Linked DNA regions of Sus scrofa. The main gene of each other region encodes a partner of the protein of the gene in region 3 in a complex. Links are inferred from orthologs where the notes say so. Each region holds a gene or a part of one and is shown on either strand. Other genes may lie near its edges.

Evidence for each region.
Region 1: RUVBL1 (region 3) and MBTD1 share a complex: the UniProt entries of both Homo sapiens proteins name them as parts of the nuA4 histone acetyltransferase complex. The link is inferred for Sus scrofa from reciprocal best matches to the Homo sapiens genes RUVBL1 and MBTD1.
Region 2: the proteins of RUVBL1 (region 3) and VPS72 are in contact, whole or in part, in a cryo-EM structure (PDB 9CA9), measured with the Homo sapiens proteins. The link is inferred for Sus scrofa from reciprocal best matches to the Homo sapiens genes RUVBL1 and VPS72. Residues at the interface, in NP_003698.1 of Homo sapiens: Thr136, Leu138, Pro140, Glu142, Met147, Tyr150, Gly151, Lys152, Thr153, Ile154, Ser155, His156, Val157, Asp173, Pro174, Phe177, Glu178, Gln181, Ala187, Gly188, Arg205, Thr208, Tyr209, Ala210, Thr211, Glu212, Phe213; in NP_005988.1 of Homo sapiens: Ile212, His215, Arg263, Thr264, Phe265, Ile266, Thr267, Phe268, Ser269, Asp271, Phe274, Trp277, Phe278, Gln280, Gly281, Arg282, Pro283, Pro284, Lys285, Val286, Pro287, Arg289, Glu290, Ala299, Leu300, Tyr301, Arg302, Pro309.
Region 4: RUVBL1 (region 3) and WDR92 share a complex: the UniProt entries of both Homo sapiens proteins name them as parts of the PAQosome complex. The link is inferred for Sus scrofa from reciprocal best matches to the Homo sapiens genes RUVBL1 and DNAAF10.
Region 5: RUVBL1 (region 3) and PFDN6 share a complex: the UniProt entries of both Homo sapiens proteins name them as parts of the PAQosome complex. The link is inferred for Sus scrofa from reciprocal best matches to the Homo sapiens genes RUVBL1 and PFDN6.

The regions. Positions count from the first base shown.
Region 1 is NC_010454.4:27,523,293-27,527,737, forward strand, and holds the start of MBTD1 (MBT domain-containing protein 1), read right to left. Parts: upstream 3,009-4,445; 5' UTR 2,871-3,008; exon of another isoform or gene 2,550-2,870; intron 1,942-2,549; 5' UTR 1,878-1,941; intron 1,869-1,877; exon of another isoform or gene 1-1,868. Other genes in the region: UTP18 (U3 small nucleolar RNA-associated protein 18 homolog), read left to right, coding at 3,289-3,678. UniProt on the Homo sapiens protein: Chromatin reader component of the NuA4 histone acetyltransferase complex, a multiprotein complex involved in transcriptional activation of select genes principally by acetylation of nucleosomal histones H4 and H2A.
Region 2 is NC_010446.5:98,065,020-98,068,851, reverse strand, and holds part of VPS72 (vacuolar protein sorting-associated protein 72 homolog), read right to left. Parts: intron 2,674-3,832; coding exon 2,521-2,673; intron 2,358-2,520; coding exon 2,243-2,357; intron 1,852-2,242; coding exon 1,675-1,851; exon of another isoform or gene 1,570-1,674; intron 1-1,569. UniProt on the Homo sapiens protein: Deposition-and-exchange histone chaperone specific for H2AZ1, specifically chaperones H2AZ1 and deposits it into nucleosomes.
Region 3 is NC_010455.5:72,198,904-72,203,379, reverse strand, and holds the start of RUVBL1 (ruvB-like 1), read right to left. Parts: upstream 3,000-4,476; 5' UTR 2,814-2,999; coding exon 2,673-2,813; intron 1-2,672. UniProt on the Homo sapiens protein: Possesses single-stranded DNA-stimulated ATPase and ATP-dependent DNA helicase (3' to 5') activity; hexamerization is thought to be critical for ATP hydrolysis and adjacent subunits in the ring-like structure contribute to the ATPase activity.
Region 4 is NC_010445.4:74,101,890-74,105,721, forward strand, and holds part of WDR92 (WD repeat-containing protein 92), read left to right. Parts: intron 1-185; coding exon 186-301; intron 302-1,848; coding exon 1,849-1,983; intron 1,984-3,832. UniProt on the Homo sapiens protein: Key assembly factor specifically required for the stability of axonemal dynein heavy chains in cytoplasm.
Region 5 is NC_010449.5:29,652,098-29,655,553, reverse strand, and holds PFDN6 (prefoldin subunit 6), read right to left. Parts: upstream 1,863-3,456; intron 1,856-1,862; exon of another isoform or gene 1,713-1,855; coding exon of another isoform or gene 1,631-1,712; coding exon 1,567-1,630; intron 1,371-1,566; coding exon 1,300-1,370; intron 1,218-1,299; coding exon 1,093-1,217; intron 840-1,092; coding exon 710-839; 3' UTR 609-709; downstream 1-608. Other genes in the region: WDR46 (WD repeat-containing protein 46), read left to right, coding at 2,174-2,374, 2,470-2,685, 2,795-2,875, 3,006-3,118, 3,242-3,329. UniProt on the Homo sapiens protein: Binds specifically to cytosolic chaperonin (c-CPN) and transfers target proteins to it. Binds to nascent polypeptide chain and promotes folding in an environment in which there are many competing pathways for nonnative proteins.

The DNA.
Region 1 (4,445 bases), on a different chromosome or scaffold from region 3:
GGACAGACGACATTTTACCTCACCTACCTTAACGTTATAAATGTGGAAAAGTGAAATCTTATTTAGCAAACATTTTAAAGATGAAAAACTCAGAAGCAAGAAGCAACCAAATGAAGTGACTTGTCTAATTTTAGGATGTGGTCATTCAAACCACTGAGAACTCTTGGCTTTTGGTAACCTAGCGGCTTAGTATTTATGACATTAATATGTTGTTTTCACTTCTAAGCTATAGTTTTACCTTCCTTTGACTATTGTGTTACATTTAAAACAATTTAAATTCCAAGGTAACGAAGGGTTTGAAGCCTCTGAACAACCAAGAAGGTTTTTACAGGAATTAAGTCAACATATAACCAGCCATGAAAATACAATGTAGTGTCTTCTTTAAAAATAAAACCAGTCATTCCTGTCTAGTATGTTTGGAATGCAAATGTCTCCAAAGTCACTCAACTTAAATCATGACAGTTCACGTTTGAAGGGAATAGGAACTTGAAACTCCACATTAATTAACACTTTCAGGACACAATTACACAGTTCCATTAACTTTTATCAGTACCTAGTATTCAGTCTCAGGTTAAATCTTAGTGACTAGATTTAGAGAAAATATCACATGTCAAAGTGTATATGAAGTTAAAAATTGGACAGTTAAAAGATATGGTCCAATATCAGATATTTAAGAACAGATACTTATTCAAGACAGTTTTTGCCATACTGTGCACCAGAACCTTGGAGTATGGGCTTCTACATAAATAGAAGTTCTTGTTATTCAGAGAAGGAGGTGGTGCAAAAACGGACAACTATTTTCTTTCTCAACACTCACTGGTGTTGAAGTAAATAAACAAACAAAAAAACCCAGTGTAAATACATTAGAGCAGAGAAACAGTCTCCGAGTCATAAAAAGGGGGAGAGACAAAAATTTCTGTGCTCTAACATTTTAAACAGCAGACTGGGAGTTCAAAGTGAAATTTACTCTCTGGCTTTTACAACCAATTCATTACTTCGACATTTTATCTGTTATGTCTTCACTCTCACTTAACCATATTAGGAAGAGGAAAACATGTGCCCCCAAGATTCCTATGCCAATAAAACTACTTTGGAAGCAACATAGCTCACCAAATGAAGAACATCAAAAAAATGCTAAGTGACAAAAGTAGAACTGAACTATCTCAACTTCTGAGTGATAATCCCTGGAACAGGTTAATGCAAGGAGCATAAAAAATATTGCAAACTCTACGCAAATGTTAAAGAGTTGCAAAAAACTCAAATATCATAAAAAACTGGAGGGAAAAAAAGAAATAAACGAAAGTACTGTGAAAGGAGGGCGCTGAGAAGGAAGCTTGATTGAAGCACACAGGTCAAAGGGAGGTGGGGAGGGGGCCTGCAGTACTTCCGTTCTCCTCTCTACCAAGAGGCAATTTTAGGCATTCTTAAGTGATTGAGGCAACAAGACATGTGCTTTGAAACAGGAGTACTACGGAGATGGTCTTGAAATGTCCAACTTAGAGAAAACAACCATGAAATCCCCAGATCATATTTCTCAAGCTTCCTGTAGAAAAATATCAACCATGCTCACACATCGAAGCCAGCTCATTTGACCTCATCTAGACAAGTCTTCAGACAGCCCTCACTCTCTCTCCAGCCCGCCTTCCTTCACTTCCCTGCTGTTGCTTTCCTGGCACACAAAATATAGGCCAGTGAACGGTGGGTGGGTGAGGAGGATGTGAGAGAAAATATGAGAAGTAAAAACGGAATCCACTTAACAGGGACATTAATGAGTCTCATAAGGGCAGGCCAGCAACAATCAGAAGTGAACGGAAAGGGCTTTCCTGGGAAGCAGCGAGCGCGTCTGTAAGGGTTGGGGCAGAGGCCAGGCTACCTACCACTTTTCAGAGAGGCTGCACGGGGGCCGGCTGCCTTGGGTGACCTCTACTGTCTCTTCCGACTCTGAAATGTTAGGATTCTCATTTCACAAAAGGGAACGCGACGGTCATAAAGCCCTCCGACTTAGGACCCTTGTAAATAGGCTGCCTCGTCGGCAGCTTCCCAAACACCACTCCCACCTCTCCCTCCCACACGTGCCCACCCCGCCCCCTTTCAATTTTTCCACCTCCACGTGCGAAACGCCTCGCAGCACTCGCCCCACAGCGGAGAGCGCCTTCCCCTGCAAAGCACCGAAACTCTGCCCCCCTGGGAGAGGTGAGGCGTCCACTCTGCGACCCTGAGCGGCCAAAAAAGGAACTCTCAAATCCAGTCTGCCCCCCTCGCAGCCAGAGCTGAAGGAGGAGGGGGGCGGGACGCAAAGAATAACTTTCTTCTAAAATTTCTCGTCCAGAAAGCGGAGGAGGGGGGGGGGAGAGAGAGAACCCCGAACAGTCCGGGGCTGAGCGGGTGGGGGGAGGGGAAACCCCCTCTCCCCGCATCGTTTAACGGCCGGCAGGGGGGAGGGGGACTCCGGAGGTGAAGGGGGCGTGGGATGGAGAAGCAGGCCAGGGAGCAGGGTCAGGGAGCTGCAGGGGTTCCTGAGGTTGGGGAGCTGCGGGCGTCCCCCCCACCTGGCACACAAAGCAGCTGCCGCGCTCGGCTCTCACCAGATCCTTTGTGTTTTCCATCAGGGCCTCATGGGTAGGGGTTGTCCGTGCTCCCCAGGCCCGCGGCGCCCCCTCCCGAGCTGGGGGCAGACGCCTCTGCCCAGAACTATGGCGACTACAGGGGGGGCCCCGGATGGGCCCAGACCGGTGGCAGCTGCGGCAGCCCCCGGATTTCCCCCCTTTAACTCGGGTGGCCCCAGGATATCAACAACATTAGCATAGCCCTCCCTCCCTAGCGCGCCTGCGCCGTGACCCGCGCCCCGATTGGCCCACTTCCCTACATACCCTCCTCTCAGTCTTCCAGCATGGGACCCTCTGCAGGCTCCGTACTCCACGGGCCGTACCAAGACGAAGGGGTGGAAAAGGCAATTGGGGCTCGTGTAAGTCAAGTGGTTAAAAGTCAGGAAGGAAAGGAGAAATTTCATCCCGTCACCTCAGTTTATACCCTAGCATTCTTGCGTTCCTTTCAATCACTTGTAGCTGCGAAGTTGTGTTGGAAGAAAATTCCCACTCCAGTTACGACGCTTCCCCCTCTACTCGGAAGATTGGTCCTCCCGGAGGAACTCCCACACGGGGAGGAGCTCTTGCGGGGAGTGGGCGTTACGTAGAGCGAGAGAGTGTTGGTCACGTGCTCACAGGCGTTGCAGGCTCTTTCCGGCCTCCGGCAGCCCCAGCAGCAGCGGAAAGCGAGGGGCCTCGGCGCATGCGCAGTGAGGTTCCACGTGAGCGCCCGCGTTCCTTCTCAAACCCAAGGATGCCGCCGGAACGGAGGGGCCGAGCGAGACCGGACAGGACACCCGGAGTGAGACCGGGCCGGAAGACCCAAGTGAAGCCGGGCCGGAGAGCTGGACTGGGGCGGGCTGGGCCGCCCCGAAAGGCTGCTGCTTCATCCCAGCGGCAACCGCCGGCCCCGCCGGGAGCAGCGGCCGCTGCGATAGCAATCGCGGCGGAGGAGGAGAGACGGCTCCGGCAGCGGAATCGCTTGAGGCTGGAGGAGGACAAGCCGGCCGTGGAGCAGTGCCTGGAGGAGCTGGTCTTCGGCGATGTGTTGGACGACGAGGACGCGCTGCTGCGGCGTCTGCGGGGCCCGCGGGTGAGGGAGGCCGAGGCGCGCGGGCTGGGCGCTCGGTGGGCGGTGAGTCTCCAGGGGCGGAGCCTGGGAGACCTGCGGCGCAGAGGAGCTCTCAGGTGGGAGGGAGCCGGGAACGCGGGCGCCCAGGGGTGCCACTCTGAAAGTCTCCGGAGGGCGGAGACAGCGCTTCACTCCCTTGGGAACCGCTTTCCCAGGTATCTAGCAGGCGCTCAATACATACTAATCTGTGTTGAAAGTCTTGAGCATTTTTCGCAGCTCAACCCCATCATCTCCTAAACTCGGTGCTCCTTTCCGCTTGGCCGTTCAGTAGCCTGCCTCAATATCTTGTGATTCGGGGATTCCACCTCGTTTGTGGAGTAAGAATTCATGGGCACGGGCCTGAGAGTCTGTTTTAACAGTTTATCCATATGATAGACTAGCTAGCTTTTGAGAACGATCTTGCCTTCGTCTAGCCAGTAAATCTCTGTGGGCCAGTTTGGCACCAGATACTTTTCCTGGCAATGAGAACCCTGCATAATATTTTTTGCACACTTTTTGCCTCTTTTTTTTTTTTTTTTTTTAAATCCTGAACCTGTTTTTTATTCCAAGATAGGCTATTTCTAGGCATTCTCTAGGCACTGGAAGAGAAGCAGCAATGCAGGAAAACATCCCTTCCTTCTTGGCGCTTTTGTGTTAGTGGTAGAGGCAGAAGATAAAGTTCAGGTATGTCAGTGAAGTGCTGAAGAGAAAAAATAAAGGTACTCGAGAAAGGGAGATAAGTGTGTGTA
Region 2 (3,832 bases), on a different chromosome or scaffold from region 3:
CGTTGCCGTGAGCTGTGGTGTAGGTCGCAGACACAGCTCAGATCCCGTATTGCTGTGGCTGCGGTGTAGGCCGGCAGCTGTAGCTCCGAAATGACCCCTAGCCTGGGAACTTCCATATGCCTCAGGTACAGCCCTAAAAAGCAAAAAGTAAAATAAAATAAAAAAATAAAAAAGTAATTTATTATTTTTTTTCCCTATCAAACATGCCTCTCCAGGATCTCCTATGTCAAGTTATAATGTCAGAAGCTTGGGAATCGCTCTCTTTACAGTGCCCTGAAACAATCAATGTGGTCGAAGGATGCAGACTGTAATTACAATGATATCAGGTGACCTCAGTATTTGTGATGGTTCTCCATCATTTATGTTTTGAGAGATAACTACTGTTTTAAAGCACTGAAATGCAATTATACAGAGAGATATTTCCCATTTTAAAGCCAACATAATGAAAGAAAAAATGTTGTGAGAATACATCCTGAAGTTCTCGTCGTGGCTCAGCAGAAATGAATTTGACTAGGATCCATGAGGATGCAGGTTTGATGCCTGGCTTTGCTCAGCGGGTTAAGGATCCAGCATTGCCACGAACTGTGATATAGGTCGCAGACGTGGCTCGGATCCTGCATTGTTGTGGCTGTGGCTGTGGCGTAGGCCTGGGAACCTCCATATGCTGCAGGTGCGGCCCTAAAAAAAGACAGAAAAAAAATATGTCCTGAAAATGTTGGAAGTGTACTAAATCTTTTCTCAATAACTGAGGTCTTTTGGAGTTAAGATATCTAAATCTCATAACTATCATTAAACTGAAATAGAATGGGTCCTAGATATTCTGGGTAAACAATCTTCCACTCCACAGTGAAACTGCATTTGGGTTATACATGTTCAATTATTTATGCTTGGTCAAAAAAAGAGAGAGCAATAGAGAAATAACAAACTAAATACTGTAGGAGATTCCACCTGTTACTTAACTCAGTTAAAGTATCCTTCAGAGTGAGCACGTGATGGGAGATGTGAAGTCTGCTGTGCCCTCAATTTCTCACGTACCTTTCCTGACCCTAGAATTCTCACCATACTTTAGAGAAATGTATGGTTTTGTACAATATATTACCATATACGACTATGTACCCGATAGCATATAAGCTAAAGAAATTTTAAAGAATTTTTACTTTAAAGTAATATATCTCATGAACTACCTCTGAATTTCTAATTCTTATGATCATTAAAGTAGGCATTACCACCCCATTTTGTGAACAAGGAAAGAAAGATAAAAGTAGGCTGTAAGTAATTTGCCTATGGTCTTACAGGTAGGGAACAGCAGAATTACAATTTGAATTGAGTTCTACACAATTTTTTTTTTTTTTTTTTTGCCATGCCTGTGGCATATGGAAGTTCCTGGGCCAGGGATCAAACTCAAGCCACAGCAGTGATACCAGACCCTTAACCAGGGAACTCCTTATATAAGTCTTATATTACACCAAAGTACTTCAGTATAACTTGTCCTTTAGTGCCCTCGTAACTGCCTAGTTCCTTGTCCTTGCTCCTCATAACTTCCTCTCCCCATTTCTTTCCTCCGATTACCTTGTCCCAAATTGCCATCTTTCTGGTTCATTGGATCTTCCAGGTCTCAGTTTATCTCATGCTTCTCAGCCCTTCTACCCACTGTTCTCAAAACCATAGACTGACCCAGTGAACGTAAGTTGAGCTCTTCTGTGATCTTAGCCTCCCTGAGCAGCTCCTCCTGGGTCAGTGGCCGCTCACAGTGGGGCCCCTTTCGCCGCCGTGACTGACCCTGCCGCTCTTGTACTCGAAGGAATGTCTGTCTTGTATGCTCAGCTGTAGACTGACGCATGGACTTCCGACCTGGGAAGGAAGTCAAGAGAGGAAGAAACCTTTGAACTCATGTCCACCTCCTTTGTATTTTTTTTTAAATTTAAAATTTTTATTTGGAAATCATCTTAAACTTAGAAAAAAGTTGCAAGAACAGTACAAAGTAAATCCATGTGTTCTTTACCAGATCACCTGTTAACATTTTGCCCTATTTGCATTTTGTGTGTGTGTGTTTTCTGAATAATCTGAGAGTTAAGTGTACATATCATGGCTCTATTCCCCTAAATACTCAGTGTATATTTTCTAAGAACAAAAAATTTCCTTACATAAACATAATTCAGTTATCAACTTCAGGAAATTTAACAGTAATACAATACTTTATCATATTTCAATTTTGTCAATTGACCCAAACATCCGCACTCACTGTCAGAGCCATCATCCTGTAGTTCTAGTGGAAGCAATGCTTTCTCTTCTCGGGTCTTCTGAGAGCTACCAGCTGGGGTGCTGACCTTTCGAGGCCTCAAGCTCTTAAGAGGCTCCTGGGGACAGAATGGAATCAGACACCAGGGAAGAGAAGAAACAGGTAAAAGGAAGAGAAAACCAGCACTGAAGAAAATGGGACTGGTGTGAGGATCTTGAGACCTGATGAAAGAGAGAACAGGAATTAAGGAAGCCCAAGAAAACTAGGACCCCCCCCTTCACCTTATACGCTTTGGTGACTACTCGGCGCTTCCTTCTTGGCTCTTCTGTTTCTCCATCACTGGATGGTTCATCTCCTTCGTCGATGTCAAAATCAGAGTCCACCTCATCCTCTGTGTCTGACTGGTCCCCTTGATACTCATCATCTCCTGATTCCTGAAGGCATAGGGAAAAAAGGTTCTCATCGGCATCGGAGTCATTAATACCCCTCCAGGAGGAACAGAACTATTTCTTTCTTTCCTTCCCTTTCCTCCCTCCCTCCCTTTCTTTTTTGGTCTTTTTAGGGCTGTACCTGCGGCATATGGAAGTTCCCAGGCTAGGGGTTGAATTGGAGCTACAGCTGCTGGCCTATACCATAGCCATAGCAATGCCAGATTTGAGCCACATCTGTGACCTACTCCACAGTTCATGGCAAAGCTGGATCCTTAACCCACTGAGGGAGGCTAGGGACTGATGGCCTTAATCAATCATGGATGCTAGTCAGATTCATTACTGCTGAGGAAGGCCAGAATCAGTTTCTTTAGAAGGGCTGCCCCACTCTCCTTCCCAACTCAGCCTTTCACCTTCCTCAGGCAAAAAGCTTTCCGAGCTGATGGCCTTCAGCTCCAGGACCACCCCTTCCAACATTAATTGACTGCCTTGTACCTGTAGCACAGTGTTAAGTGCTGGGGTACAAAAGGATATGGTTTAGTCTCTATCTTCATGGGATCTTGCAGACTAGTAGAGGACAGGACATAATTATAAAACAAAGTTTTAATACAAGGCAACATATAAAGTACCAATAAAATGTTACAGATGGCTCGGGAAGGTTTAACTTTAGATTTCCTTCCTTTCGACTAGGAGTTGGCAAACTTTTTCAGTAAAGGGCCAGTTTCAGCCAACAGGTTGTAGTTTACTAAACCCTGCGTTAGACTCTAAAAAATGCAGAGGAGGACCTCCCATTGTGGCTCAGGAGAAACGAATCTAATATCCATGAAGACACAGGTTTGATCCCTGGCTTTGCTCAGTGGGTTAAGGATCCCACTTAAGGATCTTGGCATTGCTGAGAGCTGTGGTGTAGGTTGCAGACCTGGCTCAAATCTGGTATTGCTGTGGCTGTGGTGTAGGCTGGCAGATGCAGCTCCAATTCGACCCTTAGCCCAGGAACCTCTGTATGCTGTGGGTGCAGCCCTAAAAAGACAAAAAAAAAAAAAAAAAAAAAAAAAAAAAATTGCCTTTGACCACGGTTTAAAATACTGATAGTATTTAGATAGCCAAGGTCAAGGAGAGAAACATGGGCAGATCAAACAGCAGGAACAAAGGTGTAGAAGCAGGA
Region 3 (4,476 bases):
ATTTTTAAAAAGACAGAAGAGGAGTTCCTGTTGTGGCTCAGCAATAACAAACCCAACTAGTATCCATGAGGAAGCAGGTTTGATTGCTGGCCTCACTCAATGGGTTAAGGATCTGGTGTTGCCGTGAGCTATGATGTAGGTCACAGAAGTGGCTCGGATCTGGTGTGGCTGTGGCTGTGGCTGTGGTGTAGCCTGGCGGCTGCAGCTCCAATTCAACCCCTAGCCTGGGAACTTCCATATGCTGTCAGTCAGTGTGGCCCTAAAAAGACAAAAAGAAAAAAGAAAAAACCCACAAAAAGAAAGAAAGAAAAGATGAAAGAGCCACCATGACCTTTCCATAGTAATCTCTAATATCATACTCCTCAGTATTGGAATTCTCTGAGCAATTCAAAAGACGTAGAAGAGACTTTCCAAACCTTATCTGTGTACTCTTATTCACACACTAGAACCTCTTCCATTTAACTATCCTCAGTTTAGGCTCCTTCTCTCCAGTGATATGTCCAATGAATTCTAAAATTTTAAAAGTATAAACCAGGAGTTCCCGTCGTGGCGCAGTGGTTAACGAATCCAACTAGGAACCATGAGGTTGCGGGTTCGATCCCTGCCCTTGCTCAGTGGGTTACAGATCCGGCGTTGCCGTGAGCTGTGGTGTAGTTTGCAGACGAGGCTCGGATCCTGAGTTGCTGTGGCTCTGGAGTAGGCCGGTGGCTACAGCTCCGATTCGACCCCTAGCCTGGGAACCTCCATATGCTGCGGGAGCAGCCCAAGAAATAACAAAAAAAGACAAAAAAAAAAATAATAATAATAATAGAAGGTATAAACCAGAAGGGTCTTTAAAAGACGACCTAATTTTTTTCATTAAACACTAGAGAGGTTTCTGAGGTGACCAGACTCTAACAAGGACCTGGTAGCAGAGATGGGACAACTAATAATTCAATAAATAAACACTCAGTCCCTATAATAAGTCAGGTTCTGGATATATAATACTACCCAATCTCTACCTTTGGGAAGATCATACTCACATGGAAGCACAGAGCATCAGCGTTAAGACCATGGATTCTGGAATCAGATGGACTTGAGTTTAAATCCTGGCTCTGGGAGTTCCCATCGTGGCTCAGTGGTTAACGAATCCAACTAGGAACCATAAGGTTGCGGGTTCGATCCCTGCCCTTGCTCAGTGGGTTAAGTATCTGACATTGCAGTGAGCTGTGGTATAGGTTGCAGACGTGGCTCGGATCCTGCATTGCTGTGGCTCTGGTGTAGGCCAGCGGCTACAGCTCCGATTAGACCCCTAGCCTGGGAACCTCCAGAAGCAGCCCTAGAAGTGGCAAAAAGACCAAAAAAAAAAAAAAAAAAAAAAAAAAAAATCCTGGCTCTACCAATTACCAGTTGAATGACCTCAAATCTATAACGTAAACTCTGTGAAACAACTTCCACATCTGAAAAGAGTTCACAATATAGTGGCACAAATGCCAACAGGTTTATGGTAAAGTATACTAATGTCTACAATTTATTTTGAAATGCAAAAGCAGATTGCTAGATGGATAAAGGAGCAGATATAAGATAAAGCAACAGAGTAAAATGTTACTTGTAGAACTTAGGCACACAGGTATGCACTAAACGAATCTTTCAACTTCTTTGTATGTCTGAAAAGTCATAATAAAATGGAGGAGAGACACTTATTAGAATGGAGGTGACAATTAGACAATGGAAAAGGAGCTGCTAAGTACAGTGCTTGGCAGGTAGAAAGCACTGGACAATGTCAGTTATTTACAGTGACAGGTCTTCAGTGAGCAGAAGCTGGATAAAGAGAATTTTCAGTCACCTTGACCCTATTGCTATATCCTCTCTTGGCAGAGGATGTTCAAAAAAGTAACCAGAGGCTTCTCTTTGGCCTTTGCTATTAGCACAATGAGGCCAGAAGGAACCAGTCTTAAACTCCAATTTTATAGCTGCTAAGCCACGGCAGAGGCCAAGGGCATGGGGCTGCCGTGAGAGCAGAGACTACTTATTGGGGGCTGTACCAGCTCAGGGGGCGCGGGCTCAGGAGTCAGAACACACGGGTATAAACTCCAGCGTTACCATCGCTAAACTGGGCGGCAAGTGGATTGGTGACGTGCCCGCTCCCACGCTGAACAGTTTCGTGAGTATAACGCAGGAGAGCCGACTCGGCACCTTCATCATTTACTAACAGCGGACTTAACGGAATGGTCAGAAAGGAGGCTGGCGGGGCGGGAGAGCGGATCGCGGGCCCTGGAACTCCCGCGCTCTCAGCCCGATCCCTTCCCGACTCTGAAGCCCCCAGAGCTTCCCTCTGACCGCACAAATCCCGACCCGTGCCAGGGCCCTCGGAGCCCACCTACGTCTAACGGTCCTTCTGCTCCCCGGCGTCAACGTTTGTCATCCGAAATGCAAGCCCCCGGAGTACAGGGACCTGGCCCGTCTCCTCCCCGCTCATCCCCTGGCCGCGCCGACCGCGCAGGGCAGGGTCGCTCAAGACTCGCCGGCCAGAGACAAGGCCGCCAGGACCGTCCTGCCTGGGGACGCCCCCGCCTCGGCCCGCCCTCCGGGCCCGCCTCAGCCCCTCGGCCCCGCCTCAGTGTCCACCTCAGCGCCCAACTCAGCCCTTCAGCCCCCGCCTCAGCGCCCCCGCCCCCAGCCCACTGCCACACCTCACGCGCGTTCTCCTGGCCCACGAGCCCCGAGGCCGCCTGCTTGGCCAGACCATTCTCGTCTAGCCCTAGCCCCTTCACGTGGCTGTGGGAGGCAATGCGCTGCGTCTTGGTCGTGCTCTTCACCTCCTCGATCTTCATCCTGCACACCTGAGCGCGAACACCCGCGGAGCCTTGAGAGCTCACACCGGGTGCCCAGTAACCACGCGGCCGTTACCAGGCGGTTGGCCCAGGTCCGCCTCGGTCGGCGCTCCATTGGCCGCGGCGGGAACGCCTTCACCTCCCACTGGCTCTTGGCCGTGCCCTTCGCAGCTGCCGGGGAGGCTCCGCCCACCCACTTCCGGCTGTGTCCCAGGGTTTGTGTCCCCGCGGAGAGCGCTTCCTCCCTGGGTGGGAAGAGAGGGGTGCTGCACAAAACCCGGGCCGAATCCTGCCCTTTACCGTACTGCCATTGGTGATGGCAGCCAAACACATACCCTTATGCAGAGCCCAAGTTCCACCTCGGTGTTGGAGATGAAAAAACAGGTTTAGATCTTAAGCTTGTGTTCACTAGGCAGTTTGCTGACCTCCAAGCCTTTCCTCCCCTGGGGAAGCAGTGCTGAGCATCCTCTGTGCAACTGTCCTCTGCTTCTCCTCGCCACCTCTCTTTACTTAAATTAAGTTGGCTGTGAGTGGCGTTTTATGTCCCCAAAACTCTACTACCCTGTAAGATACTGTAACTCCTAATACAGATAAAGATGTGGCTAAATTAGGCCCAGTAACTTGCCCAAGAACACACAGCACATAATCAGCAGAGCTGGAACTCCAGCTGAGGACTTAAGGCTTTGCAGCCTGTGTAACCCTCATCCCAGCCCATGACCTCAGATGAGACAATCATCTAGCAGCCTGTCATGTCTGGTTCCATGATGATATTGACACTCGCCCTTTGGATGTGCTCCATTGGCCACACAGTCATTCAACAAACATTTGTTAGCACCTGCTGTGAGCCAGACAAGAGAATGCACTGGGATGCAGATATCAAAACAAAATCTCCAGCCTTGACAAGCTCAGATCTTAGGTGGGAAACTTACAACATGAGGAATGCAAGCCCAAGCAGGGCCACGTGGAACAGGTGGAGAGCCAAGGAAGGCACCATGAGATGATAATGTCCAGACCTAACCCTGAGAGAAGGGTAACACCCTCAGGAGTAGATGGTATGTCACCATTTTACAAATGAGTGAACTCAGGTCCAGAGAAAGGAAGGAACTTGCCCAGAGCTCAGAGAAGCTTGCATTAGGCTTGAGACAGACCTGAAGCCAAATCCAGCTGCAGTAGTTCTGGATTCTCAAATCTCCTTGAACTTCTCCATGGTAACATTTGAATCTAGTTTCCTAATTATTTGCAAATTATCGGGTCAATATTAGTCTCTCCCTCTAAACTGCAGGCATTACGAAAATGTAGACCACATCTGCGTTGCACATCATTTTAACCCCAGTGTCAGGCACATGGTCTGGCTCACAATTAAGTCTCCTTATAAATTCAGTACAGTTCTAGACCTCCACATACACACACAGTCATGCAGTTTTGCTGCACGTATTTTACATATTAGATTTTATGGGATGTGGTTATGGTTTCTGTCAGTAAATAGAAACTTTTGGCCCCCAACTCCCCTTCTGCCAGAGCTGTTACATTTTTTTTTCTTTTTGTTTATTCTTATATATTTTTTAACTGCTAAAAATATTTCAAAATCTGATCTAGTCTAGCATTCTCCTTTTATAGGTGAGGAAATTGAGGCCCTAAGATGAGATGGAGTTGGTCCAAGATC
Region 4 (3,832 bases), on a different chromosome or scaffold from region 3:
GCAGTGCCGGATCCTTAACCCACTGAGTGAGGCCAGGGACCAAACGCACATCCTCATGGGTACTAGTTGGATTCTTAACCCTCTGAGCCACAACAGGAACTCCCTCATTTAGGTTTTTTTTTTTTTCTTAGCAGCCTTCAATTCAGCATTTATAAAGATCTGAAATGTCATGTTTTGATTTCTAGGCAATGCATATAATCAAGAGGAACGTGTCGTTTGTGCTGGTTATGACAACGGAGATATCAAACTATTTGATCTCAGAAATATGTCATTACGGTGGGAGACAAATATAAAAAACGGGGTAATGTACCTTTGGATTCTTTTCAGTTTCTCTGAACATGTTTTTACCCACCTCTGAACTATATTACAAAAGCAGGAGTTCCTGTGGTGGCACAGTGAGTTAATAATCTGGCTTGTCTCTGTGGAGGCTCGGGTTCTATCCCTAGCCCAGCGCAGTGGGTTAAGGATCCAGCATTGCTGCGGCTGTGGGTGTAGGTCGAAGCTCCAGTTGATTCGACCCCTGGCCTGGGAGCTTCCATATGTTGAAGGTATGGCTGAAAAAGAAAAAAAAAATAACCAAAGGAAAGCAACTCTAATAACTCATCTAAGTACAACCCATCTGTTGATAGTTCTTATCCTTTGGGGGCTGTAGAGTCCTTTGAGGATCCAGTAAAAATCAGGAATCTTTGGAGTTCCTGTTGTGGTTCAGCAGTAACGAACCTGAATAGTATCCATGAGGATGCTTAGTGGGTTAAGTATCCAGCATTGCCACGAGCTGTGGTATAGGTTGCAGACACAACTCGGATTCTGTGTTGCTGTGGCTGTGGCGCAAGCTGGCAGCTGCAGCTCAGATTCAGCCCCTAGCCTGGGAACTGAGAACTTGCATACACCTAATGTTCAACCCTAAAAAGCAAAAAAAAAAAAAAAAAAAAAAAATCAGAGATCCTCTCTTTAGCAAATTAACACACACCCTCATGTGATATGACAGTGCCAGGTAGATCACAGCCCCTATGGCTCATCTGTGGACCCTGTGGGCCACGCAGTGTGGTATTATGTTTTGGGGGGGCTAATTTAAATTTTTTTCTTTTTTCTCCTTTTAATTTTTTCCAGTGTGGTATTAAAATGAGCTAGAGGAGGCCTTTTTCTGATATTATTAGGAAGTCTGAAATGTAATAGACTCCCAAGTACTATTAGATTTTTGGTTCCTGAGTTGTACATCTTGAGTGAAGCATGTGGTTCCCTCTTGTTCTCTCTAGTCAACCTTTGTTCAGCTTTATAAAAGAATTAAATAACAGTGGTAAAAAGTTATGGCTTTCTAGATGTACTCTAGCTGGTTCTATGAATCTTATTAACCAAGAAGAAATTTTTGTAGTTACAAGTATTTGATATATTGACTCAAAAGATAAAAATGATTATTTAAAATGCTTTCTATGAATCTTATTAACCAAGAAGAAATTTTTGTAGTTACAAGTATTTGATATATTGACTCAAAAGATAAAAATGGTTATTTAAAATGCTTTTTATTTTCTATTTTTTATTTTTTTAATTTTTTTGGCCTTTTTTCTAGGGCTGCTTCCCTCAGCATATGGAGGTTCCCAGGCTAGGAACTGAATCAGAGCTGCAGCTGCTGACCTGCACCACAGCTCACAGAACACCAGATCCTTGACCCACTGAGCGAGGCCAGGGTTTGAACCTGCATTCTCATGGATATTAGTCAGGTTCATTTCTGCTGAGGCACAGCAGGATCTCCCTGAGCCACTAATTTTAAAAAATTGTTTTACTTAGTTTGAAAGAACCTCTTGAATAATAATCATGAGACCATTAATAATAAATATTCTCCGTTTCCAGGTATGTAGCTTGGAGTTTGACAGAAAAGACATAAGTATGAATAAATTAGTAGCTACATCTCTGGAAGGAAAGTTTCATGTTTTTGACATGAGAACACAGCATCCAACCAAAGGTTTTGCTTCCGTTTCAGAAAAGGTAAATATGAGGGGAGTGTGTTCTATGCAGAGGAATGTTCATGGCTTGTTTTAGACTAAGAAATAGAATGAGTCACCAAGTTCCTTCCAGGTTTTTCCATGAAGGGAGCTATTTTTAATAAATCTTGTAGAATCTTGACACGTTTTTCTGTGCAAAGAGCACTTTCCCAAAGTTTTTCAACTTTAGACTTGGTGATTATCATAAAGGCCTCAGTTGGCTCTGATTCTCATTTTGTACTTAAGAAGCAATCACAAAAAAAGTAGCTGATTTAGGAATTTGATCAACTAAACCAAGCTTGGTGTTTCCTAATAAATATATCATATTTGTATTAATACCTAATTATATACTTTTAGGTAAATGCTTGTATATACCTTTGCTTAATACTAATTATATATCTTTTAAACTATATCAACATATATGCATTATGTCATTTCATCACATTTCGTTTTATATTCCAGTTTGATATATAAAATGAAATTATTTAAAGTGCTAATCACTGTGGTACATAGTTTTACTCAAAATTTATTCATTTATTCATACATGTATATGTACATACTTTGCCTTGTTCTAAATAGTAGTTGAGGAAGCTTAGAGGGAAACAGGATATTGCAATATTAGAAAATGTGATGAAGAAAGTGGCGCAAATGGAAAACACTGGTATAAAAAAATGAAATTGATATATAAAGCAGTGGGATTGCATGCAATTCATGCTGAAACAGCCCATCCTCTGCAAGAGATAGGTTGGAAATGTGACTCTGAGCTTCCTTGAGAAGAAAAATGAAAAACCAGTTACGGATTTGTAGTTTCTGTAGTTTCCGTAAGATTAACATAAGTAAGTTGCTCAGGAAATAAAAATTCACTCCCTTGCTCCCTTTCCTCTATCATGGAGTCAGTAGTACTTCTCAAACCTTCCTGTTCTTTTTTCTTTGATTATTAAAATGATTATTATTGCACATAAATGACTGTCACTGTCTGATTAAACTCTTAGGATAACTAACTATACACTGTTCTATTGTTTTGCCTTTGTCATTTTGGAATATATTAAGTATCTATCAACAACACAAAGCACTTACTAAATTATTCCAAATACAGTTGCAACTCATTTGTCAGTATCTGAAAATTGCCATGTGTCTCCAAAATTTTTTGGTTACATTTATCCAGTAATTGCTAAATCCAGGAATTGCTAAATCTGTCAGGTAAATGACTGGTGCATTTTAACGGGTCATTTCCTCTCTTGTTTTTTTTTTTTTTTTTTTTTTTCCATTAGCTTCCAGGAGAAAAAGATAGGTTTAAACTACAAAACAAATTAAGGTTTAACAGCTTGAACCTATTCACTTGAGAGTCTCACAGACTTCAGGTGTGGATTTTGAGATATGCATTTTTCTTTGCTAATGATAATTGTCTTAAAAGACTATTAAAATCAAATGTCAGGACTGATCATTAGCTAAAATGCAGAGTGTCTTATGCATAGCTTAGATCAAGTTAGCTAGTCTCACTGCTTCTGCAAAGCAGAAATCTTTTCTCCCCTGTCACTCTCCCTCCCTCTCTCCTACTCCCTGCAGGTCCCCCCAAATAGAATCTAGCACTATTAGGATTGATTCACTGGCTGTTGTTAAGGTGCTAAAAGCTGTTAACCTTCATCCAGTTGCCATTTTGATCTTTTCATCCAACGTGACTGATAAGTCCTCCTGATCCTTATTTTGAAACAAGTCAAGTCAGTGGTGTAAATTGATTAGACTGGAAGCTTTACATTAAAGTTCATTCTGTTTATGGGAATACTTGGTACGTGCCACTCAGTTTTGCTGTGAACCTAAAACTGGTCTAAAAAGATCTATTTTTAAAAAAAATT
Region 5 (3,456 bases), on a different chromosome or scaffold from region 3:
CTCTTAAACTTTTCTCCTCAGCTGTTACAAAACCTTGTCAAGTTCTAGCCACCTGATTAAAGTGATCCGTGCAAAAACCCCCACACCTGTGAATGTGTAAGAAACAATTTGAGGACAAAGAAACGGAAGAACAACATTGTGGACAACGTATAAACATGGAGGACGTATGATATCAGAGCGTTAGGTGTTGAGATTTTAAATCAGTTTAAGCTACATTCAAGCAAATTCTAAGAAAAAAAGACTAAAACGAATTAGAGGGATGCCAGGGCTATTTTGAAGATGATGGGAAATCAGCAGGGAGGGTCCCCATGTTTCATTCTGGGGTCACAGCTTAGAAAATTCTGAGTTCAATTAAACTCACTTTACCCAAAACCACTGCATTGCAAATGCCCTTCTCATGTTTCCAACCAGGATAATGGAGACCTAAGGGCTGCATATACAGGAAAAATGAGATTTGAGATATTTCATATTTCAGTCTCAATAAAGAAGGCTTACTCGGCCTCAGAGTGCCCAGTTGCAAGAGTCTGGACCTGAGGGAGTCACAGAAGCGATAAACATATAAGGGGAGAAGGGACCAGGGGAAAAGGTGGAGATGATTACAACAGAAGTGGCTGGTGAGAAAACAGCCAGGTGTTTTCACATTTTATTCACTACAGTAGAGACCCTTGAGCTGCCTCATTCCCACCCCCTCCCTCCCCCCTCCACAGGGTCAGGCCTTCCCAGGAGCCCCTGCCTTGGCTGCCTGGGCCCGCTGGAACTCCTGCTGCAGCTGAGCCAGGGTCTCCCTCTGTTGCTCTGACTGGCGCTCCAGTTCCCGGAGTTGGGATTCGTATCGCTTACTGAGGAAGACAGAACACCAAAAACGGTGAGGTCTTAATGAGACTTACTGCTGAGGATGCTGAAGGCAGGAAGGAGATTGGTGGGGAACGTGAGATCCAAGGGAGGGAGGAGAAGAGGGGTTAAAAGGAAAGCGGCTGGAGGAACTGGGTGGTGGTGGTGGTGGGAACAGCTCTGGAAGCTACTCTACAAGGCTTTCTCAACACGTCTTCCACCGTGGCATGTCTGTCAGAAGGTGCTGGAACAAAGACTCACATTTCAGCTGTGATGTAGTCCAGCCTTTTCCCCACTGTGGCTCGAGCCTCTCCCAGCTCCTGTTTGACCAGCACGGGACCCAGAAGTTTAAAGACCACGTTGGATCCATCCAGCAGGGCCAGTTCCTGATGGAGGGGCAGGACATCTGTGATCAGAAACATTGCCAGGACAAGTTCCCTCCTCGCCCCACAAATCCTGTGCTCTCACCTCCTTCACGATATTATTTTCTGTTAGTTGTGCTTCTAGTTTCTGCCTCCCTGACATGGACTTACTCAAGTCTGGCGGGTGGGAGGGAAGACTTGATTAAAGACATCAGATATGCCACCCAATCCCTACCGTCCTGGTGAGAAATGGAGCGACAAGGACGGGAACACCATGGAGGTGGGGAAGGGGCACGGGTGGGATGGAGAGGGGCAGGACGCATCTTGTAAGGCTTCGGGTAGTGAGAGAACCGGGACAACCCCGTTCCCCTACCCTTCTGTAGCTGTTGATATTTCTCCACTTCTCCCTGTAGCTTCTTCTGGATCAGCTCAGCCATGGCGAGGACGAAACTCCGCGGGAAGAGGGAGAGGGGCGCTGGGTTGCACACTCTGGAAGGTACCCGAGCTCCCCTTTCCGGCCTGCGGAAATGACAGCCCTCTTGAGAAGCAGCCCCTCGGGGCACCGCAGTCTCCCCCCGTCCGAGATATCGACTCCACCCCTGCTCTAGGCGGCAGCGGGGGAAAAGAGACCCCAGAGCCCTCAACCGAACGCCTGCTCTATCTACTCACGTTCTTCTTTCAGTGTTGGTGAACCCGGAAGTAAACAGAGAATGCTGGGAAGAGACGGCGCCGGAAGCTCTCGTCTGACGCATGCCGGGAACTGTAGTTCTCACTTGTTAGACGAGTGGCGTTTTTCTAAAAGGCTGGACTCGGAACGTTCTAGGCAACATGCGGAAACGAAGCTGGAAAAAGGAACTGCACAGTCAACTTGAGTCCTGGCTCCGGACCACCTCTCTTTCATTACTCAAGCATAAACTGCCTCACGGGGGCGGGGCCAAGGTCTGCCCCCCACCTCACTGGAGAGAGCGCCCTCACCCAAGATGGCGCCTCGAGGGCTTCGAACCTGGGGCGGAGCTGATTGGATGAGGGCCGGAAGACTTCCGGGAGTTTTCAATCCGACTGTGGGACAGCTGAGAGGAGTTTGCACGTGTGTCGCGGTTCGGGTGGGCTTGATGGAGACAGCCCCCAAGCCTGGCAGTGATGTCCCGCCCAAGAAGGACAGACTTCAGGCCAAGAGAAAGGTAGAGACCTCCTTGGGTTGAAAGGAAAGTTTTTGGCTGAGGGGTTGGAGGGGCGGGGAGGAGGCAGCGGAATATCAGGGGTCCTGATCTGCCAGCAGAAACCTCGGCGATACTGGGAGGAAGAGACCGCTCCGACAGCTGCCGGAGCCTCTCCGGGTCCCCCTCGTAAACAGAAGAAGAATCGAGAGGCCCGCCCTCAGAAGCCAAAGAACGCTCCCATCCAAAAGAAGTCTCGGTTCCCCAAGAAGCCCCAGGTCCCAAAGAAATCCCAAGAATGGAGGAGTCCAGGCCCTCAGCGGAGCTTGTCTGGGGTGAGCCTGGGACCTTATACGGTGGCGAGGCAAGTCTCCTCGTGCTTTGAGGGTACGAGAGTTGGGATCAACCCGAGCCTGTTTACTAATTGCCCCATTCCTGTCCCAGGCCCAGGACCCGTTTGCAGGCCCCGCCCCTGTCCCTGTGGAGGTAGTTCGAAAGTTCCGTCGCATCGACAAATCCAAAAAGGTGAGAACCGGTCGGAGAGTGGGGAGGAGTTGCAGGCAGGGAGTGTCTGGGTGAGCTGGATGGAGGCGCGGTCAGGTGGCTCTCCTGTAACCCCCATACTCGCCCATTCCTCTCCCACCAATGATTGTAGCTGCCCCGTTCCAAGTCCAAAGCCCAAAGCCGGCTTGATGCTGCTGAAGCTGAGGAAGAGGAAATAAGCGTCAAAGCTGCTCGTTCTGAGCTGCTGCTGGCTGAGGAACCTGGGTAAGTGGACCGTAATGTGGGCCTCCCCAGCTCCTGGTTTATGAGGCTCTCATTTCTCACTTTTATGTTGATACACTGACTTCACATCGGAAAGCTGAATGCAACCCTGACATTCACTGGCAGGTTTCTGGAAGGTGAGGATGGGGAGGACACAGCAAGGATACGCCAGGCTGACATCGCAGAGGCTGTGGATATTGCAAGTGCAGCCAAGGTGAGCCTGAGGGTGTAAAAGGATCCAGCGGGCTGACTGGGGTGCAGAGCAGGATGGAAGTGGGGCTAGAAGAAAATATTACTGAAGGGACCCAATTTTTTTCTTTCTTTTTTTCTCCGCTATTCCC